Linked DNA regions of Drosophila melanogaster. The protein of the gene in region 2 interacts with the protein of the main gene of each other region in a pairwise test. Each region holds a gene or a part of one and is shown on either strand. Other genes may lie near its edges.

The links.
Region 1: the proteins of CG10353 (region 2) and Prdm13 interact in a two-hybrid assay, tested with the Drosophila melanogaster proteins (one large-scale study listed by BioGRID).
Region 3: the proteins of CG10353 (region 2) and ringer interact in a two-hybrid assay, tested with the Drosophila melanogaster proteins (one large-scale study listed by BioGRID).
Region 4: the proteins of CG10353 (region 2) and CG32100 interact in a two-hybrid assay, tested with the Drosophila melanogaster proteins (one large-scale study listed by BioGRID).

The regions. Positions count from the first base shown.
Region 1 is NT_037436.4:6,159,251-6,166,151, reverse strand, and holds Prdm13 (PR/SET domain 13), read right to left. Parts: upstream 3,026-6,901; 5' UTR 2,996-3,025; coding exon 2,467-2,995; intron 2,339-2,466; coding exon 1,470-2,338; downstream 1-1,469. Other genes in the region: Cpr65Az (cuticular protein 65Az), read right to left, coding at 4,563-4,892, 4,949-5,338.
Region 2 is NC_004354.4:11,882,345-11,890,089, forward strand, and holds the start of CG10353 (uncharacterized protein), read right to left. Parts: upstream 4,819-7,745; 5' UTR 4,612-4,818; intron 2,940-4,611; exon of another isoform or gene 2,938-2,939; 5' UTR 2,467-2,937; coding exon 2,454-2,466; intron 2,240-2,453; exon of another isoform or gene 1,979-2,239; intron 1,278-1,978; coding exon 757-1,277; intron 1-756. Other genes in the region: CG1840 (uncharacterized protein), read left to right, coding at 6,152-6,170, 6,228-6,312, 6,372-6,624.
Region 3 is NT_037436.4:16,352,501-16,362,307, forward strand, and holds ringer (ringmaker), read right to left. Parts: upstream 6,929-9,807; 5' UTR 6,799-6,928; intron 3,949-6,798; exon of another isoform or gene 3,805-3,948; intron 3,692-3,804; exon of another isoform or gene 3,591-3,691; intron 3,537-3,590; 5' UTR 3,530-3,536; coding exon 3,134-3,529; intron 2,868-3,133; coding exon 2,685-2,867; 3' UTR 2,246-2,684; downstream 1-2,245. Other genes in the region: Tcs3 (Threonyl-carbamoyl synthesis 3), read left to right, coding at 1-415, 471-713; Pdh (photoreceptor dehydrogenase), read right to left, coding at 825-1,115, 1,180-1,581, 1,638-1,781.
Region 4 is NT_037436.4:12,264,778-12,272,180, reverse strand, and holds CG32100 (uncharacterized protein), read right to left. Parts: upstream 4,654-7,403; 5' UTR 4,552-4,653; coding exon 4,531-4,551; intron 4,424-4,530; coding exon 2,981-4,423; 3' UTR 2,378-2,980; downstream 1-2,377. Other genes in the region: Pbgs (porphobilinogen synthase), read left to right, coding at 906-1,889.

The DNA.
Region 1 (6,901 bases), on a different chromosome or scaffold from region 2:
ACGTTAAGTGCTCAAGGTGATAGCTGCACACTAGGGTGGACCATAGTTCTATTTATAATTTAAGGCTTGCACTCTCAGTACGATATGGTTTCAATGTACATCACTCATACGCCGTGTTGCAAGAGCGCACTTAGGTGGCGTATGAGTAATTTATGCGAAATCTCACCTACTTTACGTAGCCCTAAAATTAGTGGAATTTGTGCTTTGTACTAAAATTGAAACATTTCCAATTTGACCACTATTAGCCAAATATAAGAGAAGCTAAATATGTACGTTTATATATTTACACATTTTGTATGGTATTGACACTACATTATTTTTAAAGAAAAACCATTGAAGAGAGCTTTAAAAATATTAAATGGTGACTTTTTGTACTTGTATAACTTAGTTTTGGCCAAATACTTTGCGAATAATAAAGTTTATGTGGCAATATGTTTTTGATGGTTAGTTTGCACCAGCTGGTCCACCCTACTGCACACCCACAAATGATCACACATACAGAAGGACACCCACACACATACTCGCCAATTAGCTTGCCACATTGTTTTGGTCGAAACTCCGAGGTAATACTTTAAAGCGAATCACTAACCACAAAAGGACGCTCTGGAATCGCGATTTCTTGAGTAAGTGCCTTAAACTGACAGAAAGATATTCGTAGAAATGAAGAGTGGGTGGGTTTTGAGGACTACGAAATCAGATCCAAAAGTAAATCGATTGTTTTCAGTACACTTGTTTTGGGGAGAAAGAGAGACAGACCTTTGTTTAAAACTCTACTAAGCGTTAGCCCCCCGGCAACCAACTAAATGTAGTTCCAGAAATCAAGCAAACAGAATAGTTAACTCTATGCTCCGATCTATACTACTATACCGTCGCATTTGAAGTAATTGTACGATTAATTGTGAATTCAAATCATGTAATTGTGAGTGTTTATGGCCCGTCAACGTTTTGCTCAACGCACACACAAACACACACACACACACACAAACGCGTACACTGAGAGAAAATAATATAAACATGGAATACACACACTCGTACACCCGCTTTGCCCAAGTTGAAGACAATTTGTGATTGTTTTGCATGTACCCTAAAGTTAAGCGAGTTTACACGAATATGGATTAAGCCGCAGAGAGCGGAAACGGAAACGTAAACTGTACGAGTAATAGCATTAATTGTCTAACAATAAGATTTGTGCATTATACGATAGAAATTCACTTTGAATTCGTATTGAAATTTATCAATAAAGCGATACTATTTGATTCTTACTTCGGGCGTCTAATTTCGTGGTTATTTATATTATATTTAAAATTCAAATGTTGGGATTTTCTAAAAATGTATACAGTTTATTTCATTTGTACATTGGTTTATTGAAATAGTAATTTTTAATTTTTTTATTTCATTTTAAAATTTTATTTCTACAATATATCACAGCTGTTCCCCAAAAAGCGTGCTACGAAAATTTTGCCCAGTAGCTAGCTGGATTTCGAAGTAGATGTGGTCACCGTTGCGGTCATTGTGGTTGTACTGGAGGTGCTGGTGGAGCTGGACCGGGACTCGGAATGGGAATGGGAATGGTGTCCACCATGCCGGGTCTCCATGTGTCGCTGTAGATCCCTGCGTCGTGGAAAGGATTTATGGCACACGTGGCACTGGTAGTCAGCATCCGTCTCCCCTTCGATGTCCACATCGCCGTCCATGTCGGCACCACTTGCTCCACCATCGGCGACTCCCGCGGAACTACTCGGATGCGTCTGCAGATGCAGCCTCACATGCTTGTTGAGATTGCTGGGATCGCCAAAAGGTCTCAGGCAGAACTTGCACTTCAGCGGCTTGAATCCGGTGTGGGTGCGTATGTGGATCTTCAGGCCATATTTCCGGGAGTACACCTTGCCGCAGTAGATGCACAGATGACCCTGCTTGGAGGCACCCATATTGCTGACTATGGCCTCGATCTGGGCAGCTGCATTCATTGGATTCGTCGACAACGGTGCAGTGGCCATCGACATGGAGGGCAGGTAGGATAGAGGCGTTGCTGCTGTGGTTACGGGTACCATGGGCAAACTCTGGGTAAGTGCTGCAATGGGACGGAAGGCGGAGAACCGTGGTGGCATCTGCGGCGGTGGCGAGTGGGTGGGCGAGGCCGAAGACGTGGACGAGGTCGCCGGAATGGGTGAGTGCTGGGTTTCTGTGTGACTTCTTGCTGCCGCCTTCAGCGCGTAGTGAAGTCGCATCCAAAGGATGTCCATGGCACTGCGACCACAACCCAGAGCCAAATGGATCTTCAGCGGGTGGGGTGTCTCGAAGGTCAAGTGGCAGAGGTGACACATGTAGCGACTATTTCCTGCAATTAAATGTAAAAATTGGGGTTAATATTGATACGATCAATTATGATTTATATTATATAAATTATTTATTCGAATTATTTAATGTATTACTAATAATAACACAAATTATTTAGATGATATTTACCTTGAATGTTTAGGGGCGTCAGGAAGGGAATGCCCATAAGGAGAACCAACTCCTCACCGAACCAGGCCACGATCTCGTCCTCCCGGGCTACATCCCTGACCAAACGGACGCGCACTTGTCCACCATGCAGTTCGAAGATGGCATTGAAGCTATACACATCCTCGGAGAGTTTGATCTGCCGCAACAGTGAACCGGATACGATTAGTTCGCCATTGGACAGCTGGCAGTGGGAGCGGCTGCCATCCGTGGGCATGACCGTAGATCCCAGGAGAGCCGACGTGGGAATGGCCATGGAGCAGGTATCCTTGGGCGTGTACTGCGAGGCGTAAACACCTGGTCGTGGATTGCTCATCCTCATCCGCTTGGCCGGACTTGCGGTGCTCGTGGTGGCCGTCAATGTGGTTTCTGTCGATGAAGTGGTCATGCTGGTCGGTGTGATACTGGTGCTCGGCAGGAGTTGCTCAATTCGGAAGATCAGGCTGGCCGAGCGCTTCTGCTCCAGACTATCCAGTTGAGCTGTCGTGTGCATCGTTCGCGTTCGAATTCGATTCTGCGTTCCAATTGGAAGCGAACCGGCGTTTTTATACCACGACGCATCCGCATCCCAATCCGCATCCTGCTCCCTTATTTTTCGGATTTGGATTTGCCACGGCCTTGCAGTGTCACAATGGCACGGCTGGCGGCAAGTGCAAGAATTCCCAGCCCAGAATCCAGTCCGGCACCGGCTATAGCCTCGACATAGCTACGCACTTTGCCGGCTCAACCCCCTGGCTCATTTGGCATCCCTTTTCGAGTTCCTGGTGCGTCCTGGTGGTTGCTCGGCAAGTGCAACATCATGTCCTCGCAATCACCAGAGCACTAAGCCAAGCTAAGCGGCCTGTAGCAAGTGTGCGTATTCCTGTGCCCGAAAAATACCCCCTCCCACATCCTCACCCGTCGACGAGTCCTTTCTTTTTTTGGCTTTTGGGCTACGCACAAGGAAAATGTTTTTAATTGAAATTAAACGATCGTTTGTTGTTACTTCCCCCGTTGTTGTTGCTATAATGCCACCATATACAAATCGCATTCGCCATCGTCAATGTCATTCGGCACATGGTTCCTCCCACCCCCAGGACGACCACCCCGCCCCGCATCCCACCACTATAATGCTAATGCCATAATATATTGGCGTGTATCGTTTCACTATTTGCGGTTTGGGGTGGGTCGTGATTTCTGGGCTCGACGGTTGCTTCGTCGGCCAGTGGTGCGGATTTCGCGAGTCTAGGGGATTCATTGGTGTTAATCGATGGTACGAAGCAATAAAAATAGTTGGAAATATTTAGTAACTTTTGAAAGAAATTAAAGTAAAAACTTTGAAAGTTAAACTATGTTTGAAATAAATTTTCTATGAAAGGAAACATAAAAATGGTACTACATTTTAATTTTCATTTATAATTAAGCTTAAGTTGTATAGAAAAAATTAAATTTAATTTAACAAGTCATCATATATTATTTGATTAATTTCTATTTATTATAATATTTATTAAAGACATTTCACTATTAAAGTGGTGCTTCAGTTGGTTTTTTCTAGCGCCCCTTTTCCGTATTTCCGTAACCCTCATTTAATGCAGCTCCGCTCCTGTCGGCTGACAAATATGCTACGAGGCTAATGTTTTCATTATTGCGACACAATCCCCTCGTCGAGCGATCAACAGGATAAACTTGGGCTAGCGATTCGCAGAACAGGGGAAAAAAACATGTGTTGCCAGTCACACAGCCGCCGCTCCTGGTCCAGAGGGTTGGATGGGTATTGGCGGCCAAAGAGGACATGCCATCCCAGCCAAATGTAAGGTGTACCCGGCCAGGACCAAATCTTGGCTTGGTGTTTGCTAGTCCTCAGTAAGTAGGCCGCCATGGGGTTTTCATTTAAAGCATTTTAATTGGCAATTGCTTTACAAATGGATTGCAGTTAAAATTGCGATAAAATGGTTTTCTCATTTGTAACTTAATATTTTAGTGCATAAATGTGATCCATCACCATCGAGTTTTTAGCATTGCAATACAAAGATGAATATTATTTTGAGATCAAGAGTTTTCTTAAAGATGGTTCAAATATTTTACTTTCGTCGGTAGACATAGCCACCTCCACCGCCATCATCGTTGCCTCCCGTCTCGTTGTCATCGCATCCATGGCATCCACCTCCGGCGGCCAGCTTATCCAACGCTTCCTGAATCTCGATGGGAATGGGTGGCGGTGTGGGCAGGTGATCGCCCTGCGGCTGGAATCCGTTTTCGTCCGCAATGTAGGTCAGTGAAATTTCCTGGCCCTCGGGACTGGTGTACGAAAAGGAACCCTCCGCCGTCTGTGCCTCCGCCCCTTCCACTCCGGCGTTCTTCAAGTAGCCCATCTCCTCCGCCTTAATTCCGTTTCCAGTCTCGTACTCGTACTGCCATATAGATTATTTAAATTATAATTAAATATTTAATTATATAGCTTACTCACCATATAAGAACCATCGGTGTTGACCTTGGACTCCAGCTTAATGATGGGTATATCCTCACCACCACCGCCGCCTGCTCCTCCGCCTCCCGAAGATCCTCCATTGCCATTGCCTGGTGGCAAGTATGCGTTACTGGGCGGGGGTTTTCCATTGCCATTTTTGGGTGGTGGCCCATAGCTGGGTTTGGGTGGAGCAGGCGGTGGCTTTCCATTTCCCTTCTTGGGAGGACCATAGCTGTTGGCCGGAGCCGGAGGAGGGGGTCGAGGCGGTGGAGCTGGTGGCTTGACTGGCAGATAAGTGGCCGGAGGACGGGCACTCGGATAGCCCGCCGGTTGGGACCGAACGTAGCCAATGGCGATGCAAATCAGGGAAAACAATGTGGTCAGCCTCATCTCGATTTCAAATGTGGACTGCTGGTCAACGGCACTCTGTGGTTTTATATGAGCAGCCACAGGTGGTTCTTCGACCGCCACCCCAATGACCCCAGTGGAGCAGTCACGTGCCACGGCTTCCGATTGGAATTGAAAACACAATGAAAACGAAAACAGAACCAAAGAACTGGGCCACAGCAAGTGCAAGTGCAGAAATCCCCAGAGCCATCCGATTAGTTGAGAGACTGACAAAGCGCTAATAAATTGAGTGTGCAATCTCGATTTCCAAATCCCGCAGCCTTCACCCCTTCAGCTAATCGCTAAAAACAACAAAACCCGCCCGGCCACAAGCAAAAACTTTTAATTCAAAAGCAATTTTCAACAGGATCGGGCAACACCTGCATGCCCAACTCATCTCAGCTCAAAAAACCGAACCCAACCCCGCAGGATCCCTTGTCTAATGCACTTTGCCTGTTGCCAAGGGGTGCTAAGACCTGGACTCAGGACTCAGCGCTCAGGAATCAGGACCTTCGAGTACAACACCCCACTGAAACCGAACGGCAGGGATGTCGGCTTTAGTCAATCGTCTATTAACTTTTTGCCAGCTAGTGCACAGTGGCGCTAGGTTAATATAAAGTGGGAATGATTAATGAATGAGTTATCAGAATAAAAATAAACTTACCTTAACATAACTGATTAACATAAACTGACTTACTTATATTTCATTGTTGGATATATAATATAACATAACAGACATAGCAATTTTATCTTGTAACTCAACATATTTTCTAATCAAAGTTAAAACATTTTTTCTTATTATTCTTATTTGTCTATATAAGCCTTAATGCTTCTCACAGCTGTAATGCCAAATTTTGTAATTTGTTATTAACAATAAATATTTCTTTAATGCTTTTCAATTTTTTTTATCAATTATACTTTTCAAAAATGGTACCACTGTGCTCCTTGTTGCGGCTGCTGATGTGTGTGTTTATCATTTGGTAGCTCAGCTTGTGCCTGTCGTGGATGCCGCTAATATAGTATCGGGCCTACCCCTTCGAAGGACCGACGAAAAGGCCGAGCTAATGGCAATGTCGTTTGCAGCTTGTCCTACTTGTAATGTGCTGGCGCACAGCTGACGCGCTCCCAGGACTAAGGACTCCGAGTTCAGGACTTCGCGTCCGTGAGTGGAGTGCGGATTTTGTGAACCTGTTCCGGCCGTTTCAGCTGCGGGCTCGGAGCAACCAAGCAACCACCGGGGAGGACCAGGAATAGCCGGCTGCTGCACCGGCTGCATAAACCAACAATTGTCGGTCCCCGGTCCACGGTCCTTGGTCCTTGCTGCTCGGCTTTTGGTTTCGAGTTAGCCACGCACCGATGGCACATATTCCACGCCCGCATTCGCGTTCATAAAGCGAATTTTGACCGAGCGGAACGATCTGATTGCGATTTGGCGTTGTTTTTGCGAGGGTTGGCCGATTAAGTTCCTCGTATCGCTTAATTAAACATTTTCAGATGAGGTCCATTGATAAATTGGCCACTGGCCCTCGATGACAGCCTTGATGTGAAGTGAGGGGCGGGAATCTA
Region 2 (7,745 bases):
ATACTAAAGATATCAGTATACAAAATTCGCATTAAGTGTTCATACCCAATCCCGCAAGCAAACTATAGGAAATAGAGAAATATAAACAAACAAAGGAGAGCGTGAAAGAAGGCGGCAAGAACTTGATCAAGTGCAGAATATGTAAATGTGTGTGTGTGTGTGCATCATTACAGCAGCGGGGCAATTGTATGTGTGACTGGTGTGGGTACAGTGGTCGCTCCTTAACGCGAAATCCTCTTCGATTCCCTACTATGAATATGAAAGTTACAGAGCCTCTAATTCAGTCAGTGACTCATAGAATCTGATAATGATCTTAATTCAAAGAGTCTATTTTTAGAAGATCTTCTATAGATTTTTACAAAATATAGCTAAGTACTTGTTAGATTGGCATTTAAAAACATTGTTAATATATTAAGTAATGGGAATTGTTTCGAATTTCGATGAGTAATCAAGGGAGTGCGTAGGAGCAACCACTGCACCAGTGACCATCGAAACTCGTGTGTGAAAGCTGGAATGAGCGATCCGGCAGATGGTTGAAAGTGACTGGCGATTGGCGGATGAGATGACTGACTGACTCGGCATCCACGCAACTGCAAGACAAACATGGTGGTGAGATCGATGGACGTGCGAGGGATAAGGACATCGGCGGCAGTGCAAAAGCGTGGGCTTTCAACCGGAGCCATGTGCTTAATCGTTGTGGAAACGTATTTGGTTTTGAAAGTTGATTTGGAATCGTATGCTACTATCGTTGTTTACCCTTGATTTCCACTGGGAGTATGTTATTGGCAATTTCTTATCTTTATTAGAAATGTTGCTACTAGTTCTTAACAGACGTCTAGAGACCTCATCGTCACCACCTCCTTGTCCTCCATCTCCGGTCACACCGATCCCGGTGGGCAGGTGGTTTCGTCCGTTTTGCAGGGCAATCATTTGGGCGGCGATAGCGGCATCCGTGTGATCACCACCACCACCACCGCCGCCATTGAGGTGCTCCAGTGCTGTGGACTGACGGTATCCAGGCTGCCAGGCAAGCGCTGCGTGCTCGGCGGCTGCTCCGCCGCCCAGACGCAGCCTTCCTCCACCGCTTCCTCCGCCTCCCTCATCGCCCGCCAGATCGACCGCCGAGTGGTAGATGGTGTTGCGCGACTGCGAGATCGACTTGCGATGCGCCGCCGCAGCAGCCGCCGCCTCCGATTCCGCCAGCGATATGGTGTCGAAGTACAGACTCTCCCGCTCGTCCATTTCAGATTCGGGATAGTCGTAGTCGTTGGTGCGGACTGCAACGAAGTTTGAGATTAGTCGGAAGTACTGGCACTCGCAATACAAGTAGATGAGATTCAGATGAGATGAGTTGAGTTAAGTTGAGTTGAGAGGTGAGGCGGTGGTGCTGATGAGTTAGTTGTTACATTGCCACATTTCAATTACACAAAATAGTGCACAATTGCATTTAATTTATAAGCTTTTTAATCAAGAATAGTAACAACAATAATGTTTTGCAAAAATACGGTATGAAATATGATCTCCTGATGTTATTTTAGTTTAAATAGCTGATAGTTCTGATTTAGCAATCTAAAAGATCATTCTATAAAATTACTTTGAACTGGTAAAAAACGAAAGTGCTTGACCCAATCCCCTCTAGAACGAACATCCAATTAGGTAACATGACATAATAGCAACTTTAATAAATTAATAATTAGTTAGAAAAGAGCGACATATTTAGCTTGTAGCGTCATCAAAATATGAGGAGCAAATAATATTTCAATGAATAAGACTACATTTTTACAAGATCACTTACAAGTGCCAACAAAATAAGTTAAATAAATTCAATAAATAGAGTATTTCCTCAATGTTATTAATTGAGAATAATCAAAATATCCGACCCGCTAATATTAATTACTGATAAGCCCCGAAAATCCCGATAGTGAGTCTGTGGCCATGATAATGGTGATGATGGAATTTGATGGCCTTTCAGGCGTACCCAATTTGGAAGCCAACTTATCGGGCTCCAGCTGTCGCTGATACCGCCGCCGCCTGACTCATTTAAATGCGGTCAATTACATAAGTGGCCCACAAGTGCGTTTCCATGTCCATGGCAGAGTGCGTGTGAGAACTTCGATGAATGTGAATGGATCGAGGGTTGGATACACATGGATACACAGATGGTTGGGGTGGCCACTGCTGCTGATGATGATGATCAGTTTCCGGCGCAGGAAATCCCCAACCCAATTCTAATTCCAAACTAAAAAAGGGACAAACGGAACGAAATCAAGCTCGAAACAAGAACTAAACAATGACAAACGCTCCAAAGATCAATATTATGCGAACGAAATGAAACAAGTTGAACGATCCGACATATATATTAAGTGTGTACATAAATAGCAGAACAACCAAATAAATTTGCATGACAACGGGTGCGATTTTCGAATGGTGGTTTACTCAGTTAACTTATTTACCCGCCGAATACATGATTGGTGGCTAAGGAAGAGCAAGGTGAATGTCTTGGCGGCAGTCTGTTTTGTGGGGGAAGTCGATCGATCGCTGATCCCTCCAGCGGTCTGTTACCAGCGATCCAGCTGATCCAGCTGATCCTGCTGAGCCTTCTGCTCCTTCTGATCCCACGTCACGAGCGACTCCCTCTTGAATCCTGAATCTTTCGGCACTTTCTCGGCGGCTGCGCAGCGGCACCGACTTCCACGCATTACGATTCTCGGACTGCCGGCAGTGGAAGAAGAGCAATTGATGCAGCGAATAAGCTCGTGGCTCCACAGGAAAAAAAAAACGAAAAACGAAAAACTGGAAATTTCTAAGCAACAAATTGAAACCAAAAGCGAAAGCGAAACACTCGGAGAGATTCACCCGCGAATGATGTCAGAGGGAAAAATAAATGTTGAGCCAGTGGGAAAGAAATGTGCGTACAACGCGAGTGTTTGGCGATTACTGAAAACAGAGTACGAAAAGAATAATAGAGGCAGAAATATACACAAATTCGGTTCGGGTTTGCCAGCTAGCCAGCCAGCCAGCCAGCCAGGCAGCTAACCAACCAACCTCACAAATCGCCGACCGCCACAATAAACTGATTGCCCAAATAGGCGTGCAGCTAGAAGTGACGTCGCACAGTGGCCGGAAATCGGTTGAAAATGGGTGCCATTAAGTCTATGCCCCCCAAGAATATACATATCAGAAAAGTAAAAAAGAATAACTTGAGTTTAATCAATTATTCAGTTAGGGGATCTTGCAGTTCTACATACTTTGGTTTCAGTATCTCCAAAAATGGTCTTGTTCCACATGATATTTATATGAAATATTTAAGAATATTAAGAATATTATAGCTGCATATCTGTTGTTTATGGCCTACATATGTATATAATCCCACTGTATTCATATAAACATTAATACAGAAAAAACCTACATTTGCGTCCAATATTTCACGAGAGAACAACTTTTTTTTTTTTGCTCATCTTAAAAAGTAAATAAATCCGAATAGTCGATTGTGGTTTAGATTCAATTTCTCATGTGTAATGCTACTATTCTGCCATATATGTATATACAGCTTTTAATGCAATGGTGAACACTTTTTTTTTTCCTCATTTTCCACAATTTTACAACCAGAAAACTGATAATCGTACGACTTTAATAGGTGGTGCTTATTTTAATGCTAATTTATGGTTCATTAAAAGTTGAGAATTTAGAAAATGGGCACCCACTACATTTCTAATCTAACTAACGCGGTTGGTAAACATTTGTGTATTTTTCAAAAGAACTACATTTGTTTTAACATAATGCATTGCCATTGATTGCTTATAAAAAAAAAACGACCATATCGATTCTGATTGATGTCAAGTAGTTGACCCGTCTGGTTTGAATATGCTAACAACGACAGGATTTTTATATAAAATATATAAAAGTCGAGAAACGGGCAATTTGGATATGGATTTATGACTCTTCCTACAGAAAGTTCTTCCAACCAAATTCAAGCTGATAATGATTCTACAGTTTTCTGGAAAAGTGTAGTGCAGGGGGAATGCCAAAATCCGAGGGAGACCTGCCAGAAGCATTAACCTTGACGGAATACAGACAATCCCTGGGTGGCAGACGCATGTTTGACGGGGGAGAACGGGTTAACATGTTGGCGGCAAAGGTAAAGGTCAAGTTGCTCCCGCAGATTGTTGACAAACCAAAGTGCGAACCGAATGCTCGTATAGAATTCTCTCTGTAGGAACGAAACCAGTTTTGGCATGTGTATAATGAAACACCCATAAAATAAAGGTGGGAGGAACTAGTCCAAGACACGCGAATCGGTTGAAAGAACATCTATTCCCAAAAATTCTGAATACCGGATGACGATGGTGATGATGACGATGATGATGGTGGTGGTGGCCTTTCTGATGATGATGATGATGCACTACACCTTCAATTCTGTCTATGTGGACATTTCTATTTTTAGCAAACTGCAGTGGCCGAAAATAAACGGAAGGCCTGCCGCCGGTGGACCATTGAAATACTATAGCTATGGAATATCGAGATTTTGGTTAGGAACAAGCTGTTAGTATAGCTGGCTATGCCCTGCCAACGTGATAATTCCAAACCCATATATCTTTTCTGGTCTCTCACCTGGATTTGTTGTCGTTGACTTTAGCTGGTGTTCACTGTAGTTGACATACCCACTGCCCCTCCAATCCCGCCTCCCGCGCACTCCACTCGATTCGCACTGCCGACAACAATTATTAAGGAGACCGCCAGCGAGGCTTGTTTTTAATAAATTTACTTAAACGCCACAAGCGAACCGTCCGAGGCCAGTGTTGCCAGATGCATTACATTATTCAATCAGCTGTTGATTGGGTTATTCGCTTTGCGTTTACCAACACCAAATTATCTATCGATAGGTACATGCTTATGGTGAACAATACCAATGACTTGACATTGCAGCTGGTCCATCTCTAGTAGCATGTTGAGATATTTGTTGAACCTAAAACACCCGTAAGAAACATATCTCCGTAAAACTGTGCAATAAATCGAGGGTGGCTGGAGCTTCCCTGAGGATAGCGTGGCGCCATGGTGTACATCGACCATAGTGAGTGCAATTGACTTGGGTACACCCTTGAATTTCCATCACATTTCGCATTGGCCTAATTCCACAGATGGGCGCGTGTGGGAGAAGCGTCCGTGGGACTGGCGACGGATTGTGGAGCTATTTGTCGGGATATGGTTTGCCATTAAGCAGCTGTAAGTCTACCACTAGACTGCACGTCGTGCCAAATAGCTAATGCTGTATGATTTCCCCCACAGATTCCTAACATTCCTTGCTCCCTTTACGGGCAACAATAACCAGGCCAATCCGCGTCGCGGAAATGGATGGGGTGGCGGTGGAGGATGGGGCGGCGGCGGCGGAGGTGGTGGCGGCGGTGGAGGAGGAAGACCTGGATCAGGATCAGGTGGACTAAGACCAAACCGCCGGATCGGCCGCATTCAGCCGACTATGAGCTGCAATATGCCCGCTGGAGGCGGATGAGGATAGTAGCGACATCCGGTTCCCAAGACTCTTGGGAGGATGTCGCGCCGACAGAAGGCTGGTCGTGTATAGCAGCACCCTGAATGACCCAGATATCACGGTTTATCCCGCCCATGTGGCGCTTATGACGCAGTTGTCTTAAACTCGAACTCGAGCGGGCAATTGCTGATTACGATTAACCACTGATTCCTGGGTCGCTGCTTCGTGGCCGTCGTCGGTTCCATTTATCAACTATTAGCTCCAATACATAGCTACAGGTTTTTTTCTATCGGTCTGCGGGTTTATATTCGTTAATTTACAATTGCAAATTCGAAGTCACAGTACCCAAATAGGAATACATAGTTATTCTGGTGAAATACATAAATAAATACCAACCATAACTTTTGCAAAAGCTCTGTTTTAATGAGTTCATAAAAAATGTTTTTTAAATTCAAAAATGTATTTATTTCAACATATGAGACTATCGACATCAGCGTAGGCTATGCGATATTTGTTGTATCATCAGCTGCTTTGCTTGTCCATCTCTAAACACCACGTCAATTTTTTTTTTTATACACAAACAAATCAAAATATTCAGCTTCGGCCCAGATCTGGAAATATTTGAAAGAAACAAAAGATATTGCATGCTAATTTAGCTTTAAAATGGCGTACGTCGATCAAAGTAAGTGCAAGTGAATGAGCATATGATCTCCAGAATGCTAAGCCCTTCGTTTTGCAGATGGTCGTCTGTGGGAGAAACGTCCATGGGACTTGAGACGAGTTTTGGACACATTCGTGGGTATATGGTTCGCCGTCAAACAGTTGTGAGTGCTAAATGGGTGTTAAGAGCTTAGGATTCCTTAACCCATATCCCTCCTTTCAGGCTTGCATCGTTCCTGTCTCCATTCACTGGAAATGATAGCAACGGAGATAACTCCCGTCGAGGAAATGGATGGGGAAGTAGTAGCTGGGGCGGAGGGGGCGGTGGTGGTGGCGGCGGAGGCGGTGGCGGCGGAGGCGGTGGCGGAGGCGGAGGCGGTAGCGGTTATCGCGGAGGTGGATTAAGGCCTAATCGACGAATTGGGCGCATTCCGCCCCCCTCCCAATCCTGCAATGCCGGAGGATGCTGCGGCTGAGCTGCTTAACCAAAATGCTCCAATAAATAATCCAACTCACCTCTGTGATGCGGCAATTAAAATAGATAGGTTTTTGTTTACCGTTTATATTAAAGCTATGTTTTAGTCATAATGATTTTGATTAATTGAGAAAATTCAAAATATGCAATCATACATACAATGCAATACAATACATACATACAATCATACAAACAATAAACTTTTTAATATCCGAACTTACAATGAATCGTACTTTCAGATGCTTTTGACTTATTTTTGCAACAATTTCTCTATTTCTATTTTCAATAATTAACCACCCCTTTCACTTTTCAATTGATTTTGTAAAATTAATTTTTGGCCAAAATTTTCGCATTTTTTGTAAGGGGTACCATCATCAAAATTTGCAAAAAAATGAAAAATCCTAGAATTCCCAAACTTGAATGCAAATCGATTGGAATTTAAAAAACAAACTCAACGATGTATGACATTCCATATTTGAGTCATTATTTTCAATGTTTTGATCAAAATACCGAATATTTTTTTCACAAAAAATCTGGAAACTACTTTTGGCAAAAAACTCAATTTTCAAGTTGGCTTTTTTGGCTATAACTTGTCTAAAAATGGTCACAGAGCAAAAAGAATTACCATTTTATACTCCTTATGACCAATACTAACAACCCCTATCACTTTAAAACGGATTTTGTAAAATTAATTTTTGGCCAAATTTTCACATTTTTTGTAAGGGGTAACATCATCAAAATTTGCAAAAAAATGAAAAATCCTAGAATTCCCAAACTTGAATGCAAATCGATTGGGATTTAAAAAACAAACTCAACGAGGTATGACATTCCATATTTGAGTCATTATTTTCAATGTTTTGATCAAAATACCGAATATTTTTTTCACAAAAAATCTGGGAACTACTTTTGGCAAAAAACTCAATTTTCAAGTTGGCTCTTTTGGCTATAACTTGTCTAAAAATGGTCACAGAGCAAAAATAATTACCATTTTATACTCCTTATGACCAATACTAACAACCCCTATCACTTTAAAACGGATTTTGTAAAATTAATTTTTGGACAAATTTTCGCATTTTTTGTAAGGGGTACCATCATCAAAATTTGCAAAAAAATGAAAAATTC
Region 3 (9,807 bases), on a different chromosome or scaffold from region 2:
CTATGTGAGCGGTGGAAACACACAGGTTATTGCCTACTCCAATAAGCGATATCGCATCTTTGGCGAAACTATAGACATTGCAGTGGGCAATTGCCTGGATCGATTCGCCCGCATCATTAAGCTGTCCAACGATCCTAGTCCGGGCTACAACATCGAGCAGCTGGCCAAGTCGAGCAATCGTTATATTAAACTGCCCTATGTGGTTAAGGGCATGGATGTCAGCTTCTCGGGGATTTTATCCTACATCGAGGACCTGGCAGAGCCGGGCAAGAGGCAAAATAAGAGAAAAAAGCCACAGGAAGAAGAGGTCAATAATTACAGCCAAGCCGATCTTTGCTATTCGCTGCAGGAGACCATCTTCGCCATGTTGGTGGAGATCACAGAGCGCGCCATGGCACACTGCGGCTCAAATGAGGTTGGTTGCAACAGTTTTCCGAAATTAATCTATGAGTTAACCGACTTCTTTTCAGGTCCTTATAGTTGGAGGTGTGGGTTGCAATGAGCGACTCCAGGAGATGATGCGTATTATGTGCGAGGAACGCGGAGGCAAACTCTTTGCCACTGATGAACGTTACTGCATAGACAACGGACTAATGATTGCCCATGCTGGTGCAGAAATGTTCCGCTCTGGCACTAGGATGCCCTTTGAGGAATCTTATGTGACTCAGCGATTTCGAACGGACGAAGTGCTGGTCAGCTGGCGGGATGACTAATCACCACAAGAACTTATTTCTGTGCATCGTTTGTTTATTAAATAACTAGTGTCCATAATAACTTCATATTTGTAAAATGCATGTGTTTAGGATGTGAACGAATTAACCCACTTAAAGGGCCTGTTCCTTGCCCGTCCACTGGGGCTTAATTTCCAAAGGGTAAACGCGCTTACCCTCGATGACATAGACAGCTCCGTTCTTGTCCTTCTCCAGGACATTCAGAATGCATCGAGAGACATCAGCGGCACTCTGCTTGTTTAGCCTATCCAGGATCCTATAGGTCTCGTCACTCGTTTCCGGGAAGATGATCTTCTCCGTAAAGTTGGTGAACATGTCCGTCATTGTAGCTCCAGGACAAACAGTCACAAACTTGATGCCCGAGCGTTGATAGTACTTTTCGTTCTAATTAAGAAAGAGACTTAAATGAAAAACCTAATTCAAAAGATATGTAAGAAATTCTTGTTACCGCCAAGCACCGGGTGAAGTTGATGATGCCAGCCTTGGTGGCTCCGTAAACGGGAATGATGAACATTGGATCCAGACCCACCACCGAGCTCATGTTAACCACAATGCCACCCTTGCCGCCATTATCCTTGCCCATGTAGGGCAATGCACTCAGTGTGGAATTGATGATTCCACCGAGATTTACCAACAGAGTCCTCTGCACATCCTTGTCGTTAAAAATCCCGGCTACATTGACCACAATATCGATGTTACCGAAGGTCTTGGCTATCTCCTCATAGGTGGCTTCCACACCCTTCTTGTTCGCCACATCCATCTTGATGATCATTACGCTTTGGGTGGGATGAGCGGCCCTAAGTTTTACAAACTCCTCCAGATTATCCTGCAAATCAATGATGGCCACCTTCTAGGAAGCACTCGCTTTAGAAATTACTTCACGTAATTATGTGTAAAACAACCAACCGCTGCTCCAGCGGCCAGGAGCTGCTTGGACACCTGCAGTCCAATGCCTCCAGCTCCACCGGTCACCACTGCATTCTTGCCGCGAAAGGACATCTTGGTCTGGCTGATTCGTGTAGTAGTCGGTGGTATTCCTTGTGGCTTCATCAAGCACTGAGCTCCTCAGTTGCACTGCTGACTTGGAGCTGTAATGTTCGCCGCTTTTATACCTATTTCCCAAGGGCTATATGATATATCGTTGAGTGACTTTGGTTCGACTGCAATCAATAGCTAGTTTTCCACCTGCTCTGGGTTAGGATTATGCAACTTATGCCCATATATCAATTTCCATCCCCATCTGGTCGCTGTAGCGTTCAGTCTGCTTCACACCGCTCCGGTTTTTCGATGTCAGCTTTGCATCAGTGATAATGTCATTGTGTAGATAAAGCAATGATCTCTTAATAACTATCTTCCAGTGAAATCTTTGCTTTTAAGAAGGTACACATGTTGGGCATTTTTCAAAGATCTTACAATTAAATGTATATTTCGATTTACAAAACCATCTTAATTGCTTTAAAATTTTGGTTTTTTAAATTGTATTTCCTCCCAATACAAATTTTAGCAATGCAAATATTTTAAAGTGTATTTATTCAAGCAAAATTCTTGTGAAAACATAACATATATCTACATATGTATGTCGTATATCTTTGGTTTCCATATGTGATATTTAAATTTCTTTCACAAATTGTAATATTAAAAGTTTATCTGTTATCTTAAGACTACCAAACATGGGTTTGATTGCCATGAAATGTATATAAATTTGATTTGGATTTACTTTTGAACTCTTTTTGGGCCGCTTCAAAATTTTACGTATCAAAGGACAAAGAAGGATAAACAAAGTAAAGGAACTCAAAAATTATAATCAAAAATATAAGTTTATTTGTAAGCACTTAAATTATCACAAACTTATTATATACACAAAGATAAATTAGATTGGGAGACATTAACTAGGGAAACACAAAAGTTAGAAATACAGATTTATGAGAGGGTGAAAAACGGTGGTTACCCCATCTAGTGGGCATTGTCGTAGGTGTCCTTGTGCTGGTAGCCACTCACATATCCGGATCCATCGACCACGTTCCGTCTGCCCGCGATACCCTTGCCCTTTCCGGAGGCATCGAAACGCTCCTTGTGGGAACCGGTGTACTTGCTCGTATCCGTCAATCGATCCACGGCAGCTGCGGCTTTTCCAGCCTAAAAATGGTAACAAAATGTTGATTAGGTTTTCAATAAAGGCATAAAGTATATGGTTATGACTTTCAAAGGTTTAAAAAGATATTTTTTAAGAACTTCTGTAAGAAAACTACTTTAACAATTGATAGTTTAAATGAGTCAAAAAAAAATCATTTAAATTTTGTCATATCTAAATGGTCTTCTCGAAGTTCTTTACACTTTAAAATCAATCTTAATCATTTGACTTATATAGATCATATTTTTCACAACCAATTTATCAAACCCACCGAAACGGACACAACTCCTGGAGCTCCACAACTGGCCAACTTTTGCTTGATCTCCGACAGCTCCACCTTTTTCGTCTTGGCCAGATCGTCCAGGAATTTGTTGTAGTCGCTGAGCGAGATCTTCATGGCCTTGAACTTCTTGAAGTGGATGCCTGTATCCGTGGTGGTGATCTTCTTGTCGATAACTTTGGCCTGTTTCATCCACTTGTCACTCTGCGACAGCGTTATCAGCTTGCCATCGGACTTGGAGTCCCCGAACTTGGAGAAGGCCTTGAACTGATCCGAAAAGCTAACCTTGGGCTCATCCTCCAGCGCCAATTGGGCCAACTCGGTAGCGGGCACCTCAGGAGTTGGCGCTGGGGAGGGGCTTCCATTTGCTGCAGCTACCTCGGACATGGTGGATCTGAAAAATATATTTAATATTATATATATTTTTTTAACCTTTACTGAACCCTACAGGTGTTTTAATAGATGCCCAGTAATAAATAAACAACTACGGACAAAGAACCTTCAATTTTACAGATGGACTGAGGATCATTTATTATTAATAATATGCCTAGCCTGATAGGTCATTGTTTTGTTTAACATTTTGTAGTGGTTTCTTCCAACACGCAACTTTTCCGCTCCTGCGTAATCGGTTGACTACGGTTGTCACCTACGCAGTTCCTCACCTGTGGGCCACAACGCTCACCAACATTGCGGTGGGTCTTGTCCGTCACTGTCAACTATCTACATATGTAGGTGCTATTCCCAGACGTATCTTTGCGAACACCTTATCAGTACTTTACTCACTTCGCTTTCGCAATGATATCACAACCCATGCTGAACTGGACAAAGGCAAAGCTATACCCACCCAAAGCTAGGCCAAAGCTCTCTCAGCTAGATTTCGAGAGATGGAAATCTAAAGGCAAATTGGGAGAGACTCAATCATTAGATGGCGTCATCGGTTTGGGTCCCCCATCTCCCAACGCAGCTAATTATCGCCTTTTGGCAAACCCAAATACACAAAACAAATAGTCAACAGGTTTGGCTCACATGGGTTACTCTATGGGGGTCAGAACTTAGCGCTAGCTTGCTAGATCTTTTATGATTAGTCTCTAGCATGCAGTTATCATGGGTTTTAATAATCCTAAGGCGATATTAGGTATTTACGGTACAGCTATACAGTTATAGATATACCCTAAAATTATTAAAATGAATCACTTTTACGCTTATTAAAATAACAAAAAGAGCAATAAATATTTTACGCATCGCCAGAAATTCCTCGCTTAATTTGTTACCCACCGAACGTGGCATAAATTTGGATGATAATTTAGTTTTAAAATTGCTTGTAGCATAAATTGTCCTCTTGTTTACAGGCTACCCAACACGAAGTCGAATCCTCAGACCCATCCCCATCATTCCATAAACAGTAAATAAAACGTGAGCATTTATTGGCGGAGCCATTAATTACGCACCACTTAAGGTTGCAAGTTGGAGCCCCAGGAGAGATGGAAGCCGTTTGGGCAAGCATTTAATGCGGCGATAAGATGCGACTGCAACCAGTTTGGAGTCCTCTATCCGTGAGATATGATGCCACGGCTTGTGCCCGCACAGATGCGAATCGAAATCGAAGTGGACGGGCGGGGTAGAATCACCATGACCTTGATGCAGCCCGTCGAGCATGTCAAATACTATTTTACCACCCCCTAGCCCCATTCGCAATCCAAATCGAAAAATGAGTGCTTATGTCATCGCCTCATTACGCCGGCTCTTGATTACGCTGTTCTGGGATCAGCTTTGAATAGCTCTGGGGTGAGGCAATTTAATAGCCCATATTCCCCAGATAATCCATCGAAATGATCTATGTAAACTGAGTGGTTAATTGGGAACATTGCATGCATAGCAAGTCTGCCGGTCATTAATCATCTTATTGGTCTCAAGACCAGGGCCATTGAACTTGAACTCCGCTCAAGACGATACAAATTATCCGGTCCCAGTTCCCGGACAAGACTAATGGAACCCTTTACTCCGCCCCTACATGTAATTGGAAGCCATAAATACTCGGAAACAAGAAAAGTTGACAAACTACACCACAAAAGAAGTTGGAATATGCAAGAAGAGTTTTAAGATGGCAAAAAACAAGAGGCTATCGACTAGGAAATTACCTGTAAAATCAAAACTAATAAGAAATATCTTTAGGTTATCTATGGTGGCTTTCAAAATGCTTTTTTTCACAATAGAATTCATTTTGTAATATTAGTAAAATCAATCTTTTTTAACTACCATCAGCCAATGCAAATAGTTCGGATTGTTAGATCCAATTTTCTACACTAAGATTGACGTTATTAGTTTGATTTTTAATAGAAGCCCGATTGCTAATAATTTTCTGAAAGGTTTTACAAAAATCTAAATATTATAATTATTCGAGGGAAATACTAACAGTTTAAGATGATCGTAATCAATTTAAAAAGCGGAAGTATTAAATCATCGCAATCGACAATGGAAAGACTCATCCTATGATACCCTGATCAGACTTGGATACTATATTCACACAAAATAAATTATTTTCTTAATATTCTTTGGCAACTCAAAGTGCAGATACCCCTCGTGAAATGAATGGCAGAAAATCAGGCAGTCTGATGGGGAGCGTGGATAGTCTAAATCAGAAATAATCCGCTTGCTTGTCAGACCATAAATAATTCGATTCTTCTCATTTCCCATCTCTGTTTTGGATTCTTTCTCTGTATTTTCGATTTGGAGAACAAGTTCTCATCCAGCTCCAGTCGAGCATTGCGAATTCGTTGCCAACATTTTAATTAGTTTTCTACCAAAATGGTAAAAGTTAATTGGGCAATATATATGACATATGACCACAATTTGAATAGGAATATGAATGAATATTATAGATAGCCATTTTCGAAAAGAATGGACTTCCTGGAGAGGGGAACGCAATTATAAACCCAACCTACCTCAAGTGGACCGCTGGAAAGCGAATGGAGGAAGCGAAATTTGGGTCATCTCGATGTATATTTATAAAACAAACGACTTTGGGGGGAGAAACATGAAATACTGCACCACATATGAGTTTACGTGTGTTAATAAACACACAGAAATATTAGCACCTCGGACTGAATGCATAAATTAAAGAGAACTTTTATTTTGGGGGGAACAAAACAGGAAGTCATGGGCATTCTGATAGAGCACGCAACGCAATAGAGAAATCATTGACTTAGGAGGGGGACTTATGCTCGGGACATAATATGTGTATGAAATGTGTAGCTACATCACCACTAGCCCAGATGACATCACTGGGAGCTGGGAAACGCGCAAGCGCCAGTTTGGAGAAGGGGTTTCCTGGGGGGTCTCGGTACTGGAATTTCAGACTGATGATTCAAATGCACGCATATATACACACGGAAGCGGGGAAAATGCGCCTAAATCAGGACCTCCCAAAGGAAATCGAAAACAATGGTGCTCCCCAGGAACAAAAGAAAAGGGGAACGCGATGCGCGGTAAGTGGGTCAAAATCTGCTCTTGAAAATATGAACCTGCTACTCATAAAATGAATAAAAAAAATATCCTTGGCTCGGAGTCTGCTTATAGATGCAGGATACAGTAACATTTTAAAAAAAAAAATAAATCCAACGAACTAGATTATTTTTCTCGAAACGTTTCCAACTTACATTTGTTATTAAAAAAGTTCCAAAAATTCTTGAATATATTTCCAAAAAAATATTTGTTTTATTCCTCGGCTATTTTCCAATCACTTTAAGGCAAACGCGCGAATGCTGGCGATGTCGAAACTCAACTGTTTGGACAAATGCGCAGCCAGTGGCTAGCGAAGGCCCAAGCGGCGTATGAGTGATATTTTTGTTTTGAGTGAGCTTTCGCTGAGTGAAATAGAAACTCAAAAAGGAAAATCCTCCTTAGCATTTTATCCAAAGAAAAGATGGCAAATCGTTGGTGAGCTAACATAAATTCCAAAACTTTCTGAATGAGATAAGGAAAACGATTTGGATCTTATAGACACTTTTACTGACCCCCCAATTTTTTTTCAAGCGATGACTTCATTTCGCAAAATTTTATACACGAAAACTAACAACGAAAGCCACACGACGAAGCCATTTATCAGAAAGAAAAAGAAACAAACGAGACCTAAAAACAACTCAGAATAACAAAAGTGACGCTACACACCAGAATCTTATCAAACCAACAAGTTACACTCAAAATTTTGGTTTGTTGTGAGTGAAATTCTAGGGAATAAAGCTTAAAGCTTTTCCTGATTTTATATTGTCTAAAGAGAAGGGGAGGGGTTCGCCACACAGTCTGAGCTACTAAAACAGTGAGTTTGTAGTCAGTAAATTTGTTTAAGCGCAAAAAAACAAAAAACGATGCGTGAAATTGTTGGGCAAAAAACACACACAACAAGTGCCAGACAATTCGAATAATGAAGGGTGTATCTTTTGGGCTTACTTAGACGTGTTTTTGGGGTGTGACTTGGGCTATACTAACCAGTGAGCTCATGCTTAGCTATGCAAATGAGTACTTATTTCAAGCGGTTAAGATTTGTCGACCGCCTTACTAGGTAAATGGGTTCTTTGAACTTTTCTATTTTGGACATTCAGGAAAAAGTAAAAGTCAAATAGGAAATCATAAGGAAATTACTTCGCACTCCATAAAATGATTAAACACATACTGAAACAACAAGCCCGTCCTAAACCCAAAACAAACCCTAAACGAACGAAAAAAAAACCTTTGACATTGATTTATGAGAACTGACGGTCGGAAGAATTTGGTAAGTTTTTGTGGCCAACTCGATGAAGTCATAGCCCTGGCCCAAAACCAAAATACAAAGCAACTGAAAGACTAACTTGGAAAACGAAATACCCTGAGGAGACTTCTAATTAATTTCGTAAATTAAGCATTAGGTATTACAAACAGAGGTCCATTGATTATTATTATTTAATATACAATGTTTGATATGTAATTTAAATATTTCATTCTACAATATTCATTTAGTTTATTGACCAGATGACGTTTAGAATATTCTTTAATTAAAATTAGAAAGAGTTAAATTTCCTATATTTATGGAATGTTTTACAGCTGAAATACCTTTTAGACTGATTCGTTTGCTCTTTTTTTCTAGGACATAAAATCAAAGTACTCCCAGTCCTGAAAAATGAAAAACATGATTCTTGCCACCTGGCCTATCTTAAGTGCACCTTTAATTAGCCACGAAGGCAGTTCAAAGAACCAATGGTGGTACACAAATCAGGGCACAGTCCACTCGAGACAGAACAAAGGGAGTGAACCAAGTGGACCGGACTATATTGCCAATCCAACTTCAATTCCAGGCCAGAACTAACCAGCTCATTAAGCCAGGCTGGAATGGTTGTAGAGAATTGGGCTTTGATTGAAACTGAGTGCCAACGGGGCTAACATTAAAACGCACTTATCAGCCGAGCCGTCAAGGCCAATCCAATGTGGTTCTTGCAGTTGCTCCTCCTCCTCCTCCTAATCGGGAGCGAAGTTTAAGCACCAGAGATCTGAGGCATCCGATAAGCCCGCTGCTAAAAATAAAAATGACCAGCGAAGGAGGAACAGGAGATACCAATGCAGCTGCAGTGCATCAGAGGCGGATGGGAAACATATTCTTAGGGGGTTTTCTTAGTGTCCGGTTGAAATAAGTATATATCTTCAGTGTATACTATAAGGTGTCTAAAAATTCACATTATATTATTTATTTAGCGGACTTAACGATTTAATTAACCCTTTTCTGTGTCATATTTGTAAGCTCTTCGCATAAAACATATATTTCTTATGTACATACATATGTATCTAACCAAGTATTATAATTTTTAAGGGTACTTATGACCCCCCTAAGACCCCCATTTTGTTCGCCACTGGAGTGCATGACTCCCGTGTCCAAGCTGTGGCCAAATGTGGCCCTTGGCCTTCACTCACCTTGAGATGCCGTTGTTGTCGTCGTCGGTTGTTGCCACAGTTGTTGCATTTGCTGTTGCAGTTGAAGTTGCTGTTGTTGTCGTGGCCCCGTTGCAGTGTGCGAACAAAAAGGAGGCTGAGATGCCACAATGCTGTGGCAGCAACAACGATTGCATATCAATTACACGCTGGTCTGGATGCGGTCTTTGGCCTTGATGGTCCACCCAGCCAAGGCCCTTGGCTCGCTTGCAGATCCAGATGCAGATGCAGATGGAGATGCCAGGCAGCGATTGCTCCTCCCGCTGCGGAGAACCAGGGTCTGCCTCCCTCATTTGGGCCCACTCCAGCCTTGGCCACAATTAAACCAAATTGACAACGCCTTCACGAGGCGTCGATCCCCAAAAGGGGAGTGAAAGGCGGAGCTGCAATGTCCGTTAACGACACAAGTGGACACGACGACGCATTCGCATCTCCTCGTTTGCATTGAAGTGCATCTGATGGATACATTTGGAGAAAAAATTAATTGGCTGTTTACTATTTTAAAATGTGACAGATATTATTACTATTAGGTTATTCTTTAATGAAATACGTGTGCTTGTACAAATTTGATGAATTCTATTTAAGTACAATAAACCACCTTTTTTATCAATAATAAAATATTTTTTTAATGATTGTCATAATCATAAAATTAAAATTTCAGGAATTTAAGAACAGTCTTTTTTAGCAATATTATTATTTATATGCATTTA
Region 4 (7,403 bases), on a different chromosome or scaffold from region 2:
GGAAACACGGAATCCGATGCACAAGCTAATCGCCATCATCGAAACCATCGCAACAAAACCCAAGACAGAGGAAAACACGCACTTCCAATGGCTGTTACTTACAATTGAAAACCAAACCAAATACTGAACCCAATTCGTTTACGCTTAAGTTAGGCTTTAGTTCCGTTTCTCGTTCACTGATTTCAATGCTAAAAACTAAGACAAAAGTACAACCTTTAAGCAAGGACAGGCTAAAATAATAACTTATGTATTCGTGTTTATTTGAATTACGCCTAAGCATAGCATGTTGGCCAACTATTTGTAATATTTCGTATAACGTGTACATCTATATAATGTAGACCATATGTTTAGTTATCCATTAACAAGCAAAGTGGAGCGGGGAAGGCCCAAGGATCGAGGATGTGTGTATGTGGGTGTGAGGAAGCGTAGCAGGAACACCAACTTTTATTGCTGTAATAACGATTAATACCAAACATTTTAAACGGGAGAACTAATAAAGTTAAATAAATAGTCGTACGCAGAAATAAACAGTGTGGTTTTCTTTTATTTTACCGGGTATTTTAATAATAAATCCTGGAATTCAATAAATTACAAATTCAATAGCAATATTCAAGTAATACTACGCATACGCAGTGTTGACCTATCCTTAATCAATATGGATAAAAAATTAATTAAGGGATTTATCGCTATGAAATTCTTAATATAAATAAAATTTTATCTTAATTATTTATATAAGTTTTTAAATTTAATTATTTTATTTTATCGTGAGCCACCCTAATCTTTTCATGACAGTGTTGGACAACCGTGCAATAGAGCACGCACTAAATATGCCCGCGGGCAGTTGAACGTTAATTTCACTTGTTGTTACGTTGGTTTTAATTTTCACCGGGAGCTAAGCGAACAAAATGGAGCGGAAACTGCACAGTGGAATGCACCATGCCACGCTGCGGCAGCTGCAGGAGTCGGGCTGCGAGATAGCGCCGCACAATCTCATGTATCCGGTGTTCATCGTGAGCAACGACGACGATGTCCAGCCAATTGCCAGCATGCCAGGAATCTCGAGATTCGGACTGAATCGCCTGAAGGAGCACCTGGAACCGCTGGTGGCCAAGGGACTGTCGTCGGTGCTGCTCTTTGGCGTTGTGGACCCGGACATGAAGGATGAGCAGGCCTCCAATGCGGATTCAGCAAAGAATCCAGTCGTTCTCGCACTGCCGAAGCTCCGGGAATGGTTTCCGGATCTGCTGATAGCCTGTGATGTGTGCATCTGCCCGTACTCCTCGCACGGTCACTGCGGCCTGCTGGGCGAAACGGGTCTGGAGAACGGACCCAGCATAAAGCGGATAGCCGAGATCGCCGTGGCTTATGCCAAAGCTGGAGCACACATTGTGGCTCCATCGGACATGATGGACAACCGGGTGAAGGCCATTAAGCAGGCCCTCATCGATGCCCAGATGAACAGTGTATCCCTGCTGGCGTACTCCGCCAAGTTCACATCCAATTTCTATGGACCCTTCCGGGAGGCAGCACAATCTGCACCGAAATTCGGTGACCGGAGGTGCTATCAACTGCCCAGTGGCTCCAGAAGCTTAGCAATGAGAGCCATTCAACGTGATGTCGCCGAGGGAGCCGACATGCTGATGGTGAAACCGGGAATGCCCTATCTGGATATCCTACGATCCACAAAGGATTCCTATCCGTATCACACGCTGTACGTCTACCAGGTTTCCGGGGAGTTCGCTATGCTGTATCATGCCGCCAAGGCGGGAGCCTTTGACCTCAAGGATGCCGTGCTGGAGGCCATGAAGGGCTTTCGACGAGCTGGTGCCGATTGCATCATCACCTACTACACACCCTTTCTGCTGGACATTATCGGAAAGGTCAAGTAATGGTCTACGTTCCATGTCCGATGTCTTGATACCATGTTCATATGTACATGCGTAGATTAGAGTGGACCTCTTAAAATCATTAATGGAAAATGGAACTTTTTGTAACAGATAGTGCAATTTTTGTAGGATTTTCTAATTATTTATACGGAGCTCTCCATATTTTATACTTTAATAAGCAAAAGAATAAATATTCAGGGACCAGCATATTCATTTTACCGATTAAGTGGCTTAAATAAGACTCAAAGGCTTTTACTTACATCAATATAGAAGTTATTCTAATACATTAAGATGTGTATTCAATAAAAGAAGTCCACTCTAGTCTCGAATCAACATTACTAATGCTTTTGGAGTGCCTCGCTCACATGCACACCCAAACTAGAATGTATATTTCGATGGTCTTATCTATTGTCCCGATTTGGAAGTCTAATGGCCCAGGGTACATTTCGAATTTCAATTGCATGGCGAAATTCAAGCGAACGAAACGAACCGAACCGGTCGATCCAGTAGCAAGAAATCGAATAGATGTTTCATTTTGTGATGGCAATTAACACTTTAATGTGGAATTCTCTCGATTGCATTTACAAATGGGCTACGGTGAGCATTGAACACTGGCTGGAGCTTACTTGCTAAATTGGTACCAGTTTCGAGTCTTACGAAAAGATTAAAATCACAAAATCAAATGCATTAAGTACATAAACAATTGGATCCGGCTCTGGTTTCTGGTGAAAGTTGATTGAGCAATAAGGTTTGGGTACTATTAGTTCTTAAAAAACATTATCTGATAAATAAAAGTATATGGTTACATTTCTAAAACTTTCACTTTTATGCCGTATACTAAATATTAATATATTTATACACAAATGTATAAACTTCAGCGATTTCGATTAAAAATTTCCTAAGCTCCAGTGCGGCCAATTTCAGTTTAAATTGGATATAAAAAACATTTGCAAGTGTCTGCACGAAATCAAAACTAATTAAAATTAGAATTTAAACTAAAAACAAATTAAGGAATCTATAGCTAATCATAACAAACAGAAAATACTGAGTGCACTAACGATATAAATAGTTCGGAATTCAGCGAGTCCGCAGCTCTAGGGACTCTCGCTGCTGTGGATGCGACTGTGCTCCAGGATATCCGTGTTCTGCATGGGCTCCAGATCCGTTTCGGAGATAATCTCTGCCAGCCACTGCTCGATTTGGACGGGATGGAATGAGTCTTCATCACCGCTGTTTGCCTCGAGGATGATCTTGAGATTCTCGAAGTTCTTAAGGATTAGCCGCTTGCCCGGCTGCAATTGTGGTCCCGATTCGCTGTGCGTTAGCGATGTGGTGGTCGAAACTGGCTCCTGTTTGGCAGCCGACTGCTTTGGATTGCAGTTGGCATCGCAACTGGAATCGGCAGCCGATGTTTGAACGGGCTCTGCCAACTGGTTGTATGTCCTGCGTGGCTTCTCTACCATGCTCTTCTTGATCTCGTTGAGTAGGCGATTGTAAAAATCGCAGGTGACATCGTGAATCTCGGTCTCCTCGTACCGCTGGGCCTGTCCAGGCGTAGGAGTGGAATCCGAGCTGGGTTCACGCTCTATCTTGTCCAGCTTTTTGTTCGCCTTTTGCTTTTTGGACTGCGAACGGGAGCTGGCATTACTGGAGTAATTGGAACTGGAGGCGGTGGTGGTGGGCGTGGAGTTCGAGGGTTCGGTGGTACTGGAATCGGCGGACTTGGCCAGGGGCATCTCTGCACTCACCGCCTCTTCGCTGGCGCAGTTGATGGTCAGGCTGGCTATGTTGCGCAGATTGATCGTGCCATTGCAATTGTTGATTGTGATTTTTGGCTTGAAGCGCTGTTTGCGACCCTTGCATTTCGGTGGTTCTTGTACGCTGCTCTTTGATTTGGCAGAGGTTTCTCGCCCCAAGCTGGAAACGGCTTCGGCAATCGAAGATTCCAACTCGTCATCCAGCTCCTCCAAGTTTAAGGGCGGCACATATGTATCCCTCTTGATCTTGGCCTTTTTTATCAGATCCTTTGCCTCCTGCAGTGTAATGTTGATAATGGAGCGCTTGGCATTATCTTCGACGAGACTTCTGTTGCGAGAGAAGTCGACCACAATGGCCTCTGGTGGGGCACCGTCTTCGTCCAGATCGAGATACGATACTTGCCCATCCTGCAGGCACTTGTACATGGTCTCGTGGTCATCTAGTGGCTCTATGTAGTCCTCGTTCCTCAAACCCGTGGTGCGGTAATCCTGCAGCGCCAACTGCATATCACTGTTGTCCAGCAGAAAGTGTCCGTAGCTTCGGATGGCTGTCAGTAGTTTCTCCTCCGCATCCTCGCTTTCCCCGGGAATGAAACGCACACCACTTTGATCTTTCTTGCCAACCGAGTTCGAGTTCTCCATTTCGGTGGGCGACTTCTTCAGCAGCTGCTGCTGCTGTCGCGTGTTCGCTATGACCTCCAGTTGCCGGAGCAGCAACTTCTCGCGCATATGCAACGCAGCACGGATTTCATTGAACTTCTTTTGTACGGTGTCTTTGACCTGGGCGATGAAAAATTGGGGCGTGTATCAGTAAACAGCAGTCAAAACACACAGTCCATTCGGTTTTAGGGGGCTGAATATAAAAAAAGGAGAGTACAAACACAAACCTCATCCAGATTCTTGTCCATTTCGTGCGTGCTACTAAATACTTTCTCCTTTCTAAACGCTGCGCATTTTTTTTCATAAATTCCTGTGTATCAATATTTTTTGTTTGATCGATCAGCTGAGTTGCGGAGTGCCCGCCGCTTTTAGCTAATAAAAAACCAGAGGCTCACAAGGACTGGTACTTGTAACTGGTCACACTTTACATTTGGCGGGAAAATTGAATTTGCAAGTTTGATAAGAACATATTTCATATTAAGTATTATTTTGGCTTTATGCCAAAGATTCTGGTAAAGTTGTATTTAGTAAAAACACTTTCATATTCCTCATTAACGATCTTTCTGTTTTACTACAAAAGCACAAGCAAAATCTAGCAAAATAATATAGGCAGCTCTTTAAAATTGATGAAAGGCTTTGTGTTTTATTTATTAAATTATTTAATTATTATTTATTTATTTAAATTATTTAAAATATTTTGCCGGGTTGTTCAAACTTTTAACGTTAGCGGAAGTGCAAGCGCTGCCACCTTGTTGCTGCGCTTAACAGAGAGATCATACTTATACCGCTACGACACTACATTGTGGAGTCCAGTACAATGGAAGGAATTGGGTTTTAAGATTTCAAAAGTCTGAATTGTTAGGGCAAACAATAAGCACAAAATTCCAGAGATGAACTAGTTTATGATTAATTAAGCTCTTTAGAAGCATATTAATTTATATATCAAATGTAGTGGTGTCACAAGCACTTGAGCGGCTTAAAAGTGTGTGACCGTATGGCAACAGTAGAACAATCCACATTACAGAGCTCTGTTAGCATTGCAGAAGTGTTTTAACACACCCGAAATTCGGACACACCGTCGTCAGTTTGTTTTCATTTCAACTTTGCGTCGGGTTCACTCCAATTTTCGCACCGGAGGCGCGCATTTCAATTAAATTCGGGAGAGCGCTGAATGCGCACGCTGTTTCCCTAAAAGTTCAAATATTTAAAGACGAAAAACATTGGTAAATTATTTTGGTTATCCTATAAAAAAAATAAAAGATTCGCACTTGTGTTGAAAATACATCGGTAAATCCGATAAATCGCCGGGAAAATATGAAGAGATTTTGGCGCTAAATGTGTTCAAAAACAACTATTAATATAAACGTTTTTAAAATATTGTTGTGTGTAAAAATATAGATTGAAGAATTGACGTTCAAAAGCAAAAGCAAAACAAATCGAAAATCACCGCTTCCACGTATTTCTCAGCTGTCTTTGTCTTTGGCTCTGCCGTCTCTTTTCCACACGTCGCGGCGCCCTCAAGTGTTTGGTTTTGTAATTGCCTTTGCTTCGCGAAACTGTGCTGATTTAAATGTTTTTTTATGTACCGTTCTTAAAGTATTATTTCCCCAAATGCAGTTGAAACATAACAATTGTCGCGTGGCTTTTGCAGCGATGAGCAGAGAGAAAAAAGCAGCCGTGTTTAAATAACAATAGTCATCGCTTATTGTTGTTGCCCCAACTAATTTGAACTGTGCATGTGTGTGCGAGTCTGATTGTGCTTGTGTGAGAAGGCGCGTTGGCGTTTGTTGTTGTTGTTTTTTCTTTGCTCAGCAGCTCAGCACAAAAAATCCGAATGAAAGAAATATTCAGAGAATTTTGAGTTTGTTTCTCGTTCTTCCTGCCAAAGAGAGAGAAGCATAAAAAGAAGCAACAAACAAGACAAAACAATAAAAAAAAATCAAGGGAAACACAACACACATGCAAAGCAACAAAAGAAAAGGCAAATAAAAGAGAGCGAGAGAGCGCGAATTGTGTCAGTGACGCCAAAAAATTTAAAAATATCAATAATGCCCACCAGTGTTTTATTTTCGTTTCGCCAAACGGTTTATAATTAATTAACTGCAACTATATTTAATTGGTTTTGTGTCGGCATAGTTTTTATTGCTCTTTCGATTGTGTTTCCGCTGCATTTGCCGTCGTTCTGCCTTTGCGATTGCGAGACTGTCTTTGCAAATTGTCTTTGCGTCGGCGGGTCGTGACTGGATTCCATTGAATATTTTACAAACAGATGATGCATGTGGTTGTGTACGTATGTTTGTTTGTTTGTCGCCTTTAAAACCACATGTGCTTGGGTTGATTTCCTTAAAAATATGCTCTATAGGAATACAGTTAGTTGCTGCTTTTCGCTTTCTTGACTAGCATTTTTTTTATCGCGTCTAGCTTTCCGGTTTTTCCCTTTTCTCTCCCCTTTTTTTTAGTTCCATCTTGTTATCATCGCTAAAAACCTGTTTTGTTTTGTTTTTTTTTTTTTTTTACTTTTTTTTACCTGGTCTCCGGGTTTTTAAATTCGAAATTACCTCATTTTACACCTCAATCGCGGGGTGCTTTTCATTTAGTCGCTGCGACTAACCCACTAAATTGAATCATTTTTATTTCACCCGGATTTGTAGGTCGTCGAAATGTTGTTACACTTTCGGCGATTTCAAGATATCGCGTAAATATTTATCAGAAACGAAAATTCAGAAGTGTAAATATGCGATTATTGAAATCAAGTCTATAAACATCCACAACTGAGCCACCAAAAATTGTTTATTTTCCTGGAATTTTTACCTGTTTAGGGAAAGCAATAAAATGCGCAAGTAAACATGTAATATATAAATATGAAATATGTATATTTTAATGTACAGCAAATATCCGCAAAATTGACTTATTAATTAAATATAAAACTAGCATTGAAAATATTAAATATTCCAACATTGAAAACAGCACAGTTATAACACCTTAACTACAAAGTAAACTCGACAACCAAATGAAGACAAACCAATATCTACTGTATATTATTTTAAAAACTGTATAATCCACAACTATTTTAACCGAAAATCTGTAAAAAGAAGTCCAT